Xenopus tropicalis: one gene and its partners. The protein of the gene in region 3 interacts with the protein of the main gene of each other region in a pairwise test. Links are inferred from orthologs where the notes say so. Each region holds a gene or a part of one and is shown on either strand. Other genes may lie near its edges.

The links. The genes of interacting proteins can lie anywhere in the genome.
Region 1: the proteins of enkd1 (region 3) and ubxn11 interact in binary tests that used the Homo sapiens proteins (3 or more experiments, as listed by UniProt). The two-hybrid records come from large-scale screens. The link is inferred for Xenopus tropicalis from reciprocal best matches to the Homo sapiens genes ENKD1 and UBXN11.
Region 2: the proteins of enkd1 (region 3) and begain interact in binary tests that used the Homo sapiens proteins (3 or more experiments, as listed by UniProt). The two-hybrid records come from large-scale screens. The link is inferred for Xenopus tropicalis from reciprocal best matches to the Homo sapiens genes ENKD1 and BEGAIN.

The regions. Positions count from the first base shown.
Region 1 is NC_030678.2:77,352,304-77,357,782, forward strand, and holds the end of ubxn11 (UBX domain-containing protein 11), read right to left. Parts: intron 5,223-5,479; coding exon 5,165-5,222; intron 5,082-5,164; coding exon 5,002-5,081; intron 4,923-5,001; coding exon 4,835-4,922; intron 3,967-4,834; coding exon 3,749-3,966; intron 3,667-3,748; coding exon 3,589-3,666; intron 3,514-3,588; coding exon 3,399-3,513; intron 3,320-3,398; coding exon 3,216-3,319; intron 3,142-3,215; coding exon 3,074-3,141; intron 2,097-3,073; coding exon 1,971-2,096; intron 1,888-1,970; coding exon 1,731-1,887; 3' UTR 1,550-1,730; downstream 1-1,549. Other genes in the region: sh3bgrl3 (SH3 domain-binding glutamic acid-rich-like protein 3), read left to right, coding at 159-227. UniProt on the Homo sapiens protein: May be involved in the reorganization of actin cytoskeleton mediated by RND1, RND2 and RND3. Promotes RHOA activation mediated by GNA12 and GNA13.
Region 2 is NC_030684.2:96,751,391-96,756,433, forward strand, and holds part of begain (brain-enriched guanylate kinase-associated protein), read right to left. Parts: intron 3,892-5,043; coding exon 3,730-3,891; intron 1-3,729. UniProt on the Homo sapiens protein: May sustain the structure of the postsynaptic density (PSD).
Region 3 is NC_030680.2:41,247,862-41,252,904, reverse strand, and holds part of enkd1 (enkurin domain-containing protein 1), read right to left. Parts: intron 4,133-5,043; coding exon 3,908-4,132; intron 1-3,907. UniProt on the Homo sapiens protein: Microtubule-binding protein which regulates microtubule organization and stability. Promotes the stability of astral microtubules and facilitates the proper orientation of the mitotic spindle.

The DNA of each region.
Region 1 (5,479 bases), on a different chromosome or scaffold from region 3:
GGGCATGGTGTACTGTGTTATGTATTGTAAACTAAATGTAGAATAAAATGCATGATGGTGCATTTAATTATGGGTTTGCATACATAATATTAAATGTCTTGAATATGATTTACTCTAAATCCTTTCCTGTGCTCACTCTAACTTTTTCTTTATTTTAGGACTATGAGCAGTTTGCAGCTGCTGTTGAAGATGAGATATTGAGCCAGTTTCTTAAGCTTAAAGCTTAGATTCTGTGATGCTGAACCTTTTTTGTTACATCAATGCATTTGAGCCCACACCCTGCTTATTTTCACCCACAAAGGAGTAAACTAGAAACAGGGATTATTCATTCCATCTTTTCCTATACATTCCAAAATTTCACTTTCTTGCACCTCATTCATTCCTGGGATACTGGAAGAGGCCCTGAACTCTTTTTCTGTGTTTTTTTCAGAACCACCCCCCCCCCTGCTGGCAGATAAGGGATCTAAAAAAAAAAAACTTTCCTTTTTATGACTTCTAAACTCATTCCATGCTTTTCCTGCCAAAGAGGAAGTGAGAATGTCTTCCAGTAGATCAGTAAACCTGTTGTTCACATTGTTTTCATTTAAAAATAAAACACTTATCTGTTCCTAACTAAATGACTGAAATTGCTATGAGTTTTGCTCAAGTATTCCACGAATAATAAACAGATGTTTGTAGGTGGTTGTATATAGAGGCTGGGAATATGAAAAATAGCATTTTTCAGCTGGAAGGGAAGTGCCCAAATCTTGAAGAGGAGTCCGTCATGTCATTTGTTTTATAGAAGCAGACAAGCAGTTTCCATTTAAACTAATTAAAGGTTTGTTAGCCCGATTGGGCAGAATAAAAGAATATCACACGAGTGGCCATACAATTCTACAGGCATCTTTATTTTGCTCCAGAAAAGCAGGAAGTGAAGGAGTCACTTACTTTAGGGCGAAGACAGAGGGGACAATTAGTTGCCGTGATTTTTAAAAATCTGATTGCCGACTAATCGCAGCGGCACCAAGTTCCATATGGAAAGGTACTGCAACATAAAGTTGCTGCAACATAAATATGTAGTGTGGGACAAACTGCTATTGTACTTGTGTGTGGTGATAAATCGCCACAATCAGATTTTTAAAAACGCCGCAATAATCACCCTGGTATAGTTTTAGATCCCCCAGGATTGCAAGATTATTGGTCTATATGACCCCCCCCAGGCACCGTCACTTTCTGTTTAAAAGCCAGGAAGAAGGTAATGGATGCTACAATGATTTGCTTTTATCTCCTGCACGTTTCTTGCATAAACAAATGACTAGATTCATCGTTACTGCAATTAGTGGGAATTATAAGATGTTATGGCAAATTTGTATGGAGTACAACACTTAGGGGAATGTTTCTTGTTGTGTTAAGAATGTTTCTTGTGTTAATAGTGTTAAAAATGACCTCCCAACTATATGGGATAGCTTTAGCAGATGTATTTTCTAACAGGTGACTTTTCAGTGGCAAAATCTGCCTCCCAGCTATCAAGTTTTACTCACAGTAGAACATAATTTAATCTGCATACTGATAAAGAACTGTTAGTATTAGTTTATTGTTCCTTTATGGTCATGTATAGTTGTAGAATTATACCATATAAAAGTGCATGTTGTAAAGTTCAAGTTGAACAGTCATCAGGAAGAGATAAAAGATCACCGCCCCTTTGTTTCTTCTGTTCTTTAGATTCATAAATGAAATTCTTTCTTTTTTCCTCAGACTGATTGCTTTTTTTGTTCCTCCTCACTTCTTGCTCTGAGAACTAGAAAAGCATTGGGGACGAGGCCAACCTCTTCCAAGGTACATGTATCATCTTCATACACACAGTAAGGGAAAGGGGTGATAATGTTGTAGGAGGAGAGATCAGGTGCCCTGCTTACAAAATATATAATAAGGAATGAGAAATAAACAGACTAAATATGTTATAGGATTTTAAAAAAACAAAAAACACATACCGGCACGAGGACAAGTAATTTCGCAAGTCGGCAAGGGTTTCTGAAGACAACATTCGCACTTTATATGTTTTATCACCAGACTCAGACCTGATCCTTAAAGTTGACACTACCATGTTGTCTTGTGTGCTAAAACAAATACAAATATTTATATTCTTTAAATCTTGTTGTATAGTTGTGATCCTACATCAGGAGAGAGAGAGAGATGGCAACACTGTCTTAAAGGAACAGTTCAGTGTAAAAATTAAACTGGGTAAAATAGACTGCGCAAAATAAAAAATAATATTAACATAGTTATGGAAAAATATAATCTATAATGGCAGGATTGAGCAGATGTCTAACATAATAGCCAGAACACTATTTCCTGCTTTCAGCTCTTAGTTAGTCAGTGACTTTAGGGAGGCCACATGGGACATAACTGTTCAGTTAGTTTGCTTTTGAATCTGACCTGTGCACTCACAAACTAACTGAATAGTTGTGTCCCATGTGCCCCCCCCCCCCCCCCCCAAAATCACTGATTGGCTACTGACTGATAATAGCTTAGAGAGCTGTAAAGGAGGAAGTAGAGTTCTGGCTGTTATGTTAGACATCTGCCCACTCCAGCCTTTATAGATTTCACCTTTGGCTAACTAACTATATTGAAACTATTATTTTATTTTGCACAGTTTATCTATTTTACCCAGTTTCATTTTTACACTAAACTATTCCTTTAAAACTCGCCAAAAGCAACATTCCAACAGTGTTCTTTACATTGTTTACAATTGTGCCATTATAGAAAGGATGGAGCCCCATGTGGCTACCCAAAGTCTTAGGGCTGATGGGGATAACTTTTATGGGCCCATGTACAGCAACACACCTTTTTGTGAAAATACATTAATAATAATAATAATAAAGCTGTTTTATTCTTGGCTTGAGAAAGAAAGCTTAACTGAAGGACATCAATAAAAAACGCTGGACTTTGAATAAATATAACTGTGACAACTGGATTTATGAGACAAAGGAAAACACTATATTTAATAAAAAAAATATTAAAAACAAAAACAGCAAAGATATTATGTAATGACTACCCCCCTTTAACCCTATGGAATACATTTTACTATCCGTACCTCTGCTCTTTTGATAGCTGTGGAGATTCCACTAAGATTTCTTTTGGCATCTCATTTTCTTCTGACCCCTTAGAAAAACAACAAGAGCTAACTGTCTGAAGATGCTCCACCAAACCCTCCGTTCCCATGGTCATGTACAAACCTGCAGAGCTTCTCTTACAGCACTTCGTACATGCACAATTCTACCCCCACGAATTACAGATTTAGGCAGTCTATTCAAGAACTGGTCAGTGGAAAGCTGTGGTCCTGTTGGTGGGCAGAATTTACAATGAAAATGTTCTATAAACCCTTAAGGGCTTGCCTTATTTTTAAAGAGAGCCCTTACCTGGTTTTTTGTTAGTTTGTAAATTACTTCCTGAGCTCCCAATAGTCTGACCAGAACCAGGAAAATCATCCCATCGCCGCTGCTCTTGGAAAATTACATTGCGGTTGTCTGTAACCTGCAAGGCAAAGATACTTTTCAAGAGTCCTTTTCACCTACATGCGTAGACTGTATTCTTCAGCAATTCTCTTACCTGAAATGTGACTCCATTAGGAAACCGGGCCTGCAGTTCAGAGGGAAAATAGCCATCCATGATATCTCTTATACATAGCTGTAACACAATGAAGGACAAATTATTTCAGGGAAAATAACTTCTTTCCCATCTGACATACCACTGTTTCTGTTTTCCTCACCTGTGTGGATTTTTCCTTGTAGGATCGAAAGGGCCCTTGGAACATAATAATCCCGTTTTTATACAAAGTCAATGGGACAGACTCGGGTGCTCTCAAACGGGCCCCTCCCTTTTGATACTCAATATGCGATTCTCCCTCACCTCCAAGTACATTCAAATCTCTTAAATTTTCCAGGACTAGATCAAAGTCTGGTAGGAAAGAAGTAGGTGAAGAAGGTCCTATGGAGATTAAAAAAATATTACTATAAATACAACTATTTTTAAAAGTCTCATATTACCCATTTATTTAATAAAAGTGTAAAGTGAAAACACCACTAGTGCTAAAGCTATAGGGACTGATTCCTGACAATAGGTGGAACTCCTACTTAAAGCATGTAAAAAATATTAGAGATGGGCCGAATCCCAGATTTAGTTTGGGATTCAGCTAAATCGGAGCCATTTTTAGCATGACATGGCCGAATCCAACCGCCTAGCTGAATCTGAGCCCTAAGTATTGAAAAATATTTGCAGCATGCCTTCCCCTGCATTTTCTGCTTCTGCTCTGGGCTTGGTTCGGTATTTAGCCAAATTCGTACCCAAGGAACTGAAATATAGGTTTGGTGCATCCCTAGTAAATATACAGAGAAGCAATATTTTTAGTTATTGTCAATCGGTGTGTTATAACATGGTTTTTCAATAATATGGAAAAGTTAATGCCTAGTGACATTTATTTCAAATACTAGAACCTAGGATTAAAGAAAATAGTAATTGTGGTGTATGCAAACATTTCACTTCTTCATTATTTAAGGTCCCTGGCTCTAATTACCTTAGCATTAATAACCATTAGGAGTTCTATTTGCCTGGCAACGCTGAGTACAGGCTTGTCTACTTATCTGATCAATGATACTGTAGCATTAGAAAACTACTTCCCATGTAGTTTAGCCCTTAATACACTGAATTTACACTGTTTAAACAGAAGTTTTCAGGGCTGACCCTACTCCATACTCCAGTGATATCCGAATAACAGATAGAAGCTTCTCATAGCCTGCTATGAACCGCTGCTTCCAAGGAGATTGTTTACAGTGGCAATGTTATAATCTACAATTACCTGGGCTCCATGTTCTGGCAGTGGATTCAGGTGAGACATCTGCATTGTTTTCCCCAACCCAGACCAGTCCATAATCACCAAGGAAACGCTAGGGAGGAACAAAACATTTCTGGGTCTCACTTATTACATAGCTATTAGAAAAAATATGGCACACCATACACACTCACCTCCATCTCAGAGATTTTTTTATTTAGTTCCTTACACTGGTGTTCCAGTTCCTGTTCTCTCCTTCCACTTGTGGCATTCCCTGTATGTAAAAATTGAGTTAAAGGACATATAAACCCTACATTTTCCTACCCACCATTGGGCACATCCCCAACCCAAACAAACCTGAATGTAGCTGTTGAAGTCTTTTGATTTTCTTTTCTAGGTCTCTGATTTCCTGATCCTGTGGTATAGATATGGATAGAGAGACAGACACACAGATATATTTTCTCAGTATTCCTAAGCACTAAGCACATCTATGAACAACTGTTCATTCTTGCCTCATGTATTCGGTGTGATAACAAGAAAATGCCAAGTTACTAATATTCATCAATCCAGCATAATGCGTTTTTTAGTATTAGATTTAAACTTAGAATTTTTTTTACAAAGATAATTGCCCAAAAGCATGGAAAACCTTTGAGACAATCACATCTATGGGGG
Region 2 (5,043 bases), on a different chromosome or scaffold from region 3:
TTAGATTCATAGATTATCACTGCCTACTTAACAATGAGTTTTATCAAAGATATAATACTTCTTTTTAGGCTATATTTTAGTATATGACTAATTTAGACTGTTATTTCCACATCTCTATCAGGCTCCATCCACCTAACAAAGAAAAAACTTTAACGATATACTTGAAGTATAAGGGGTTTTATATGTCGTCACATTAAAAATCCATATAAACTTTGTAGTATTATAGTATATTTTTCCAATCACTACTTCCCCTAGGTCTGGGTAATGTCCATGTCCCCAGAACCCCCGCATGTAGATCCCTGTCTGTGTAAAGTGCCTTGCCCCTGAACTAACCACATTTTTCATCCAGAGCCCTTTAATTTTCCTAAATACTTAGTGCCAAATGTCTGGCGGTATTTCCAACATAAATCAAGTTTGAAGTACATCTGAGTACATAATCCATACATTGTGCTTTACATTCAAAACTTTTCAACTGTATGTACCTTTCTACTCGCATCTTTTAGATGCCAATCCCGAATGGGAAAAATTCGGATTGGATACGATAATTTCTGAAGATCGCAAATATCACGAAAATGCTTACGAAAAAATTGTATTAGTCACAATAATATCGTATTGGTGATCCGAAAGTCACAAAATTTTCGTACCGAACAATTGTAAACAGCGGCAGAACCTTTCTGAATTTTTGCGCAAGCGCACAAAAAAGTTGCGCGGGTGTACTAAAAAGTCACGCAAGAGCGAACAAATCAGCGAAAATAAATTCGGAGCGTTCATGTTTTTAATAAATCTCCCCCTTAATAAATATCAGACATTCGAATTTTTGAACCATAATTGGAAAAAACTTGAATCGTGAAAAAAATCAAACTCAAATATTGAAAAATCTCCCCCTTATAAAACTTATAAAACTGTAAATGAATAATGAGGGAACACACAGCCCACCACTAAATGGTGGATCAAGGGAAAGGCTATAAAAGGGCAATAATTACTGATATAGATAGTTAGTGAAGCTTAACCTATAGGCTTATAAGATTAGCTAAAACCAAGTAATGGCCTCCACCCAACACATGTATCCTTTAGTGTTTGAGCTCAGCTCTCATTCTAACAATCATTCATTCCTTGTTTGTTCATTATGAGCTGGCAAAGCTAGGGATTAATGCCTAATAATCAATAGGAACAGGATTTAGTAAAAATCACTTGGTAGCTACTACTAATGTGTACCTGATAAACACATGCCAATGGGAATTCTGTACTGACTGACACTGAAGTTTTTGCTGTCCACGGCTATTAAAGAGAAAGGGACATTTTTTGTAATGAAAATATGTATGATGAAGAGAGCATAGATTGCACCTTGCCACTGTTTTATACATGAACACTTCTGTAACTGAATAACAGACAGTCTGCTCTCTGTAGTCATTCATGATATGTGTATAACACATGAAACACTTTCAGCAAATCATCTCCAGCCATCCCCAAATTAGAATGGAAAATGCTTGACTGACATTTCAGTGGTGATATTGGGCATTTGCTATTCAAATAAATGTGAGGCAGAAAAGGGATATTTCAAGCACTTTGTAGTGCCATTTGAACAGGTTCCATGTAATGCTGATTGTTTATTGTTTGTAAATTGAGTTCTTTAATGTTTTATCCATTTACATTTGCTTTAATAAAAATGCCGTATGGGTGCACATGATTACATAAGTGCCTGAAAGCATCTGAACTGTTTCATATAGAGAGATGGCAAGGGTTGGAATCCACTAATAACAGCTATCCTATGAGCCTATACTGTAAGTATAAGTGAGCTGACAGGAGAGATATAAGTGCATTAGAAAAGCGCACTCAGCGGTGCTAGGGTTAACTTGTGCTCTCAACTCCCAGGGTACATTCTCTTTAGTCGGCCAAACATTAAACTATACTAATGAAAAAACAGGCAGTTATAAAATAATAATTAAAATAATTTCTGCAAATATTCTATTATTCAATCTACCAGTTATACAGACTTATTTTTACTTGTTTTGTAAAATGTTACCTCTGGTGCCTACAGTTGCAGAAATAATCACACAAAGTAATGCTTAAATCAACTGTACTACATACAAGCATCCTAGCTGTGACTGACACTGTTTACAAGATATCTATTTCCATGCATATAAACTGCACTTTACTGGGTCTGTGCAAAGGAGATCCCCTATTGCACTTTTATTTAAGGTTCTGCACCACATGCTCCTGCTGTACCACTGTGCAGCCTAGAGCAAAATGTTTGGCATTAAGGTGTTCCTCTTTTTATTATTATTATTATTATTATTATTATTATTATTAAATAATAATAATAATAATAATAATAATAATAATAATAATAATAATAATAATAATAATAATAATAATAATAATAATAATAATAATAATAATAATAATAATAATAATAATAAATATTATTATTATATATCACAATATTATTGCCTCTTGCAAAACAAATTTCTACATTGTATTGAAATCAGCTGACGATGGAGGCTGTTAAACAGGCTGAGCAGTCAATATCCATTTAGAGGGCATATATTGTATTACAATGTCTCTGAATAGGAAAAGCACCTTTTTACAAGAAAGTGTATATATTATTTTTTTTTATAAATATTCAGTAAAAGCTTTGCATCTGTTATTCTAAAGATTGAGTCTATTGTGTCTGCACATTTCTGTTTATCTAATAAGTCACTGCTGAAGGAGAATGAAAAGCCATAGAGCACTATAAGCACCTGTATTTACCAAGCAGCACCTCTTGATCAAAACATGCTGACATGGGGCTACCAGTGTTTTACCCTGCAAGAGTCATTGACACTATTTTCAGGATCTACAATTGGTCAAGTTCCCTATAAGATACAGTGCATATGTTGCTCCCAGAGGTGTTCATCAACCACCCTAAGCAAAGAGTGAGCTATTTAGTGTAGAATAGAATGTAGCCTGTATGTATAAGACCTTTACCAGCTGTAAATGGTGACTAGGAGTACACCATTGATTCAATGGAAGAAACAGATTTCACAAATCTCATTATGAACTAGCATGGTGTGACCAACCAGACTGACAGTGAGGGGTTACCTAATGGCTTTATGGGTCATTAATTAAAACATGTACATGGTTTGATGGCCATATAACTCATTACATCTTTTCTTCACTTTACAATCTGACAGTTATGAGAAGCCATTCATTTGTGTGGTTATTTGGGACCATACAAATGAAAATAAGATCCAGAACAAGGTGGGAGGCACCCCAATTTTAATACAAATCTGAAAACCAGAGATTTCTATCCTGTGAATTATCAATCATGGAGGAATTACAACTCAAAGCATCCCCTTCATCAGGGTGTCGTGTTGTGAGCTGCAGTCCATGAACTGCTCAATGGCTGCAAGTAGGTCAACCTTGAGGCAAATTATATAGGAAGACATCAAGCAACAATTGCACAAATAATTATGTAATTTCATTTACATAGACATTTTCTGGCCAAGAGGAATTTGCTGAGGCCTGTAACTAGCTTTAGCTATCTTCCTCGTGCAGACATCTTTAGCACACTCTCTGGGAGATTTTATCATACAACCATATTGCACTAAAAAACTCTTTTGTTATTTAAATGCCCTACAACCTGCAACATATTTTCTAAAAGGAAAACATTCTCAAAATATTGTCACTTAATGCATTAGAGTCAAAAGGGGCACAATCCTAGAGAACAAGAATAAAGCAGAGCCTGACCTTCTCAGCTTTTCTGTCACTTTCTCCAGTTCCTCCTGTGCCCTCCTCAGCTCAGTTTCAAGGAACTGCCGGGTGGAATCAAATTCCGATTCAAGCATTTCCAGTTTGTGAGTAGTGTAAGACAGTCTCTTCTGCAGTTCTTCCTTCTGGTCCTGCAAGCTGCTAAAAGAAACAAATATTCCACCAACTGTGATTATCCAAGATGCAAAGTGTTGTTTTTCCACTGCCAATAAAAAAGACTGACTGCTGTTTCTCTCTCCGTGATCTCACAGTTCTGGGTATTTTAAGATCTAATCTGAGGCACACAACAAAGTCTCCTAGATGCAAATGATCATTAAGTATTTATGTATTCTTTAGCAGGACTTGGCAGAATGTGGGATATGCCCGAGAGTGCCATTCCTTCCTCCCCGGAATTTGTTACATAATGACAGAAATAAGAGAAATGTTCAATCTGGTCCTCAGTTATTTTTTATTATTATTCTGTTCTAGAATGCATGTCTACAGAATCATTTTGAAAGCAAGTGCAATATATGAAGTGCTAGAATAGAGGCAAACATTGAGCATGCATTAATGATATTAACAAAGGTACTTGTGCCCATACATATTACTAACATCACCAATGTGCCTGAATTTTGCATAGGGACACTAGGGAACCCTGGTACTAATATTAGTCTAGCAGGGTGTGTCCATAAAAGCAAATTGGATGCTAGTGGTGATACTGATGCCACTAGAAGTGACAAATTGCACACATTTCACCAAAAGCAATGAATATTCACATTTGTGCATTGTGTGCAAGTTGTTTGGGTGCTTAGCTGGCACCCAAAATTATGCTGAAATTCTTGGAACAATGCTACATTCTGATTCAAAAACATGGCAGCTTTTATCAGAAACTTGCACTTTGCACATTGCAATTTCTTCACAAATAGGCTATTGCCATGTATGTTAGGACAGCAGCTATTAATGAAGAATCTGAACAGGTCACTAGTGGGAATAGTATGGTCTGTAGAAACCCTCTCCAACAACAGCCCAACTCATTTGACAGCTCATTTAGTGAATGGCTTACACTATTAAGTTAATTGCCAGAAAACTTATAAAGTACGGTTATGCACAACTAAACTCAGGATGGAGCAATACAGTTATGTCGAAATACCTAGTACTGCATCCAGTAGTATCTACCTTGTACTTGCTGCAACTCATCATTTGCACATGATCTATAAGACATGGTTGCATATAATGTGCAGTGACATAGGTTGGCAAAATGAGCCTTGCACTATTTGGAGGCACAGAAGTGGGTGGGTTCTGAGGGCCACTTAG
Region 3 (5,043 bases):
TATATATATAATATATATATATATATAATCATGAGTAGAATAGATTTCTTATTTTTAATCATTCAGGTTTTAGAGATTTTAGCTTTTTTAATAAGCACACATTTGAGTTTGGTGAGCAAAGGAGAAAAGGCACATGTTACATAGCAGATAACAGACAAGCACTGTAATAGAATACAGTGGAATTCATTTTTTGTACTTCTTTAATATTCATGGGTCCTCACTCACAAAGTGCGGGGCACCTTGGGCACTGGTCAAACAGACCAACACTCCCCCAGTCAATACAGCGCTGCCTTACTGCTGCATATATGATAAGGATGTAGCCTATATTTTGTGCCTGGCATTCTCCCTTGCCACATTAGAGCATATTGCCCCAGTGATACAAGGAAGTAGTAGCTAACTACATTTCATTTAACACTGGTAATAATATTTAGTAATAAAACAACATTAAATGCTACACCCTAGAGTATACCCTTAGCAAAGGACTCTTCTCTATTCCATGGCCATATGACTCCTTGTTTTCCAATGCATCCTTTAGACCCTTACTTTATATGTCAGTTTTGGATGCTCTATCGCCTCTGTTAAAGCTCAAAGTACCTGTGTATTAATATATTTCTACACGTCGATACTTTTGCAATAGAAAATGTAACTTTGTTGGGTACTTTCTTTAGGATGCAGATTAGACTTCTGTAGCTAGAGCAAATGTCATGTGAGCTCTGACCAAATCCCTTTACATGATCAAGGTTCTAGCTTTTCTTATGTGGTTACAGTCCAAATATATAACCCACGAACAATGCTTGAGATGCAGCTCCTATGTGAATGAATGCATTTTGTGAAGACCCAAGTAAGCTATCCTTTAAAAATTGTGAAAATCTCTGTAAATAAATAAAGGGCTGCCCAACTTGGGTAAATTTTGACAAACTTGCAAAAGGCCCTTATTGGACAGAAGCCAGCATTACTCAAGGTTCCTTACTGAGCTGGTTGAATTTGGTTTACCTCAACACCAACCAGTGTTCAATCTGACCTATACTTACAAAACTAATTCATTTGCCTAACAGGAACAAAGGTATAGGTTTGCTGGTATCATGAACCATAGAAATTACTTCCCTCTATTAAGGCTCTTACAGATGAGTGTTTTTTCATGCGATGCAGTTCCTTGTTTGTATTCACTCTTCCGCAGGGAAGTGCCAAATACAGGTGAAATGCAACCCGATCTATTCCACCTGCATTTGGCACTTCCCTGCAGCAGAGTAAGAACAAACCCATTGAAAAAAATCTAAGCTTAGCAGATATTTATTATTATTATTTTCTGCTTGTTTGGTTTCTATTAGCTTCCAATTCTGCTTCTTTCCAGCCTTGAACTGGAAACATATTTATATGTTGGTTGTCAGGGTTACTAAGCCCAGCAAAGAAAACTCCAAAAACTGACTGCAAGGTATACATTTTATGTAGTTATTAATTAAAACTAAAACTTTTCAGGCCTTCTCCTGTACATCCTCTGATGAAATACAGGATTAGCAAAAGCAAAGCAAAAAGTGATTTCCAGCTACGATACCCATAGTGTTTAGAGTTGGAGCTGGTCTGGCCAGGGTCTGACCTCCCTTTCATCTTACCCCCACAGTAGTACTAAGGCATAGAGGCAGGGCAGGCTGACCTTCCTTGATGTCACTGCACTCCTCACAATCCCCCCTCCCTCCTCCCTTATCTATAATTGTGTATTGCATGGGCAACAGGTGTAAGATTCTGGAGAATAAACAAAATTTTGGGATGATACAAATTTTTCCTTATAAGAGCGTCCACAAATTGGCACTTTTTTACTTGCTGAGTTCCAAGACTGAAAGAAACAATATTTAAATACTTTAAATAGTGTAAGTGAAGTTTATTTTGCTTGATAAAAACAATATAAAAGAAATGTAAATGATTTATTAGGGTTAAAGGTCCCATTTAAAATCTCAAGCCTAAGAGATTCAAAACGTTTTATAAACAGCCTTAAACATTACAAATCCCCAAGCAGAATTTACCTTAATAACAAGCAATTATATCTTCACAGTAGCACACACACACATTACATATTTAGGACTAAAAATGACATCAGATATAACTAATAACGTTTAACTTAACTACTTATTAAAAAACGTATTAAACTTATTAAAAAAGAATATTCTCCCTAGATTCCAATACTTTTTCCAAATACTTGTTCCATTTATCCAGGATTAACACTAGATAATTTCAAAGACCGGAAAATAAAACCCCACCAAGGGGCATATATTTGTATAAAACATTTTATACAAACACAAAAACTAATGGAAATAACAAAACAGCCCTCAACACAAATAGAGATCCTCTGGGAATCTAGCAACCCCCCAACAAAATCAATATTGTATATATACAAATGCTTGAGCAAATTAGCTCCTGACCCAGACACAGTTTTTTAAAAGTAAATGGTAAAGAGAGCTGAGCTGCGTGATACCAGAGGAGACCGGGGAAATAGTGCAAATACTTTCCTACGCCTCCTACAAGAACAAAACTATAAACTTCCTTTACAGTGGTACAGAATTCTTCCCCTCGTTACATGCTGGAGGTGTGGAGGGGACTCTTTCTCACATCTTCTGGGGATGCCTAGCCTTGGCAACTTACTGGTCCTTAATCAGAGACATAAATAAGACAATAACCGATAAAGATATTAATAATGGTCCAGTAGTCCTACAGATGCTACAACATTTTCACCTACAATATATAAAAAGTCACTTGTACTCATATTATTAGATACACCTAAAGCTCTCATCCCACCACTGTGGAGATCCCAAATGGTCCCCCAGAGAAAAGTGGATGCAAAAAAATTGAGAAAATCAGTAAATTTGAAGAACTAAAATCACATGAAACACAACACTATATTCAGAAATTATTTTATTGGACAAGCTCTAAAGAAACAGATTATTATAAGAACTTCATGACCTCCACTTAGTCATTCATAGATGCATCATTATACTTACCTTATGTAATGTAATAGGTAATGTAAAGGAACAACTGATTTGCCATAGCTATATCAAATCAGACATATACTGAATAATAAAAGGTTATACTATATTTACTCAAGTATTAATACCCTGAATCAATCAGAAGGCTCAAAAAATTGTGCAAGACCTCTGGTTCCTAAACCACTGTTCCTATTTACCTCCGTGAATATGATCATCAGCCACAGTCATAAAGTCATAAAATGACTCAATGACTCTGAAGTTGACCAACCTAGGGAATGGCTTTTGATTCTTTGTTGTTTTTTTCTATATTACCTTTTTCTTCTATGTTGGGGATTACTACACAGCCCCTCCCACATGTGTGCTCACTGCACAACATGATCCCCTAAAAATACAAGATGGAAGAAGAGACAGACTCAGCAAACACCAGACACCTAGCAAGGATGTGATATGTGCAGTCTTTCATAATTTTTGAATGAACGTGCACCCTGTGTGTTTTTTCTTGTCAATACAAATTTCAATTATAAAAAAAAAAGCTAAAACTATATGGACATGTTTTTGAACATGTCATTGAGAAACTAAAAGTATAACATGACTTTTGTCCTCTTTTTTGCTGTAACACTTCTGGTGCTCTGTGAGAAGTCAGGTCATGGGCATGACATTTCTGCATAAGTTAGAATTTTCAATGTGGTATGTCATCATTGAGCTCTTTAGTAGAGTCATTATACTGCCAATTGTTGCTAAAGTGTGCATAGCTCTGTGCCAGCAATAAGTATGAGTTCAATAGCTAATTAGAACTCACTAATCACTAATTAGAAGGAATATCCAGATTTTTATATTTTATGGTGTATAAAGTGAACCAGAGATGAAAAGTTTAACAATAAAATTATCAGACAAACAAACAACATGACTGATATGTTAAAAAATGTACTAACTTTTTGTAGGCAGGCTGGGATGAAGAGATATTCCTTCTAACTGCAAGAGATCTCCAACAGTTCCCCTCTGGCCACGCTTTAGGATGTCATGAGCACTAGAGTGGATCCTAGGAGGAGGGTGTGAAAGGCGGGAACTGTAAAAAGATGGACATATTATTGGGTCGGGAGCTATAGGACCCAATAATAATTCCAACTCCAAGCTTCTGCCTTCAAGTCTTCCACGGGCTGCAGAAAAGAAGAAAAGGGAGATAATTTATATTTATGATATTTTAAGTTGTTTTAATTTTGTACATAAAGATATTTTGGAAATATTATGCTGATTGGAGGAGATTTTCAGAACTACATAAATACACTACTTTTAGCAAAACTTTGCAAGTTGGTGTATAAAAATAATTCTACCCATGTTTGGGGTTAGATTACTCTTAGGCAACTCTCTGCAGCAGCCATAGTACAGGTATGGGACCTGTTATGTAGAATGCTTGGGACCTGGGGTTTTCCGGATAAGGGATCTTTCCATAATTTTTGTCCGCTAAAAATTATTTTAATATTGAATAATCCCAATAGGATTGATTTGCCCCCAATAAGGGGTAATTATATCTTAGCTGGGATCAAGTACAAGGTACTGTTTTATTATTACAGAGAAAAAGGAAATCATTTTTGGGAGATGGCCTTTCTGTAATTCGGAGCTCTCTGGATAACGGGTTTCCGGATAAGGAATCCCATACCTGTATCAGCCCCCTATACACTATGCATACTGGGCATTAGACTAATGGCACCACTGGTATTTGTTGCTTTTACGCTTATATAGTTGTCCCTAAAATCTACTCATATGTTCTAACCGTATATTCCTCATGTTTTAACACTCTAGTCCAGGCTGATTCGTTTATTTGCCCATGTATATCATTTTACAAGACTACATCAATGAATATATTACATAAATAGTTTGGCAGATAATATATCTATGAGGACATACAATATTAAACCTGTTGTATTGGGCCCTAGAACAGAATAATGTAAGCATACGGTAAATATCCATATTACTAAGAAGCAAAAATCATTTAATTTTGTACTAAATTTTGAATTTCTATAAATATTAGCAAATTAAAATGCCATGAACAAGCTAAATGTGAATTTAT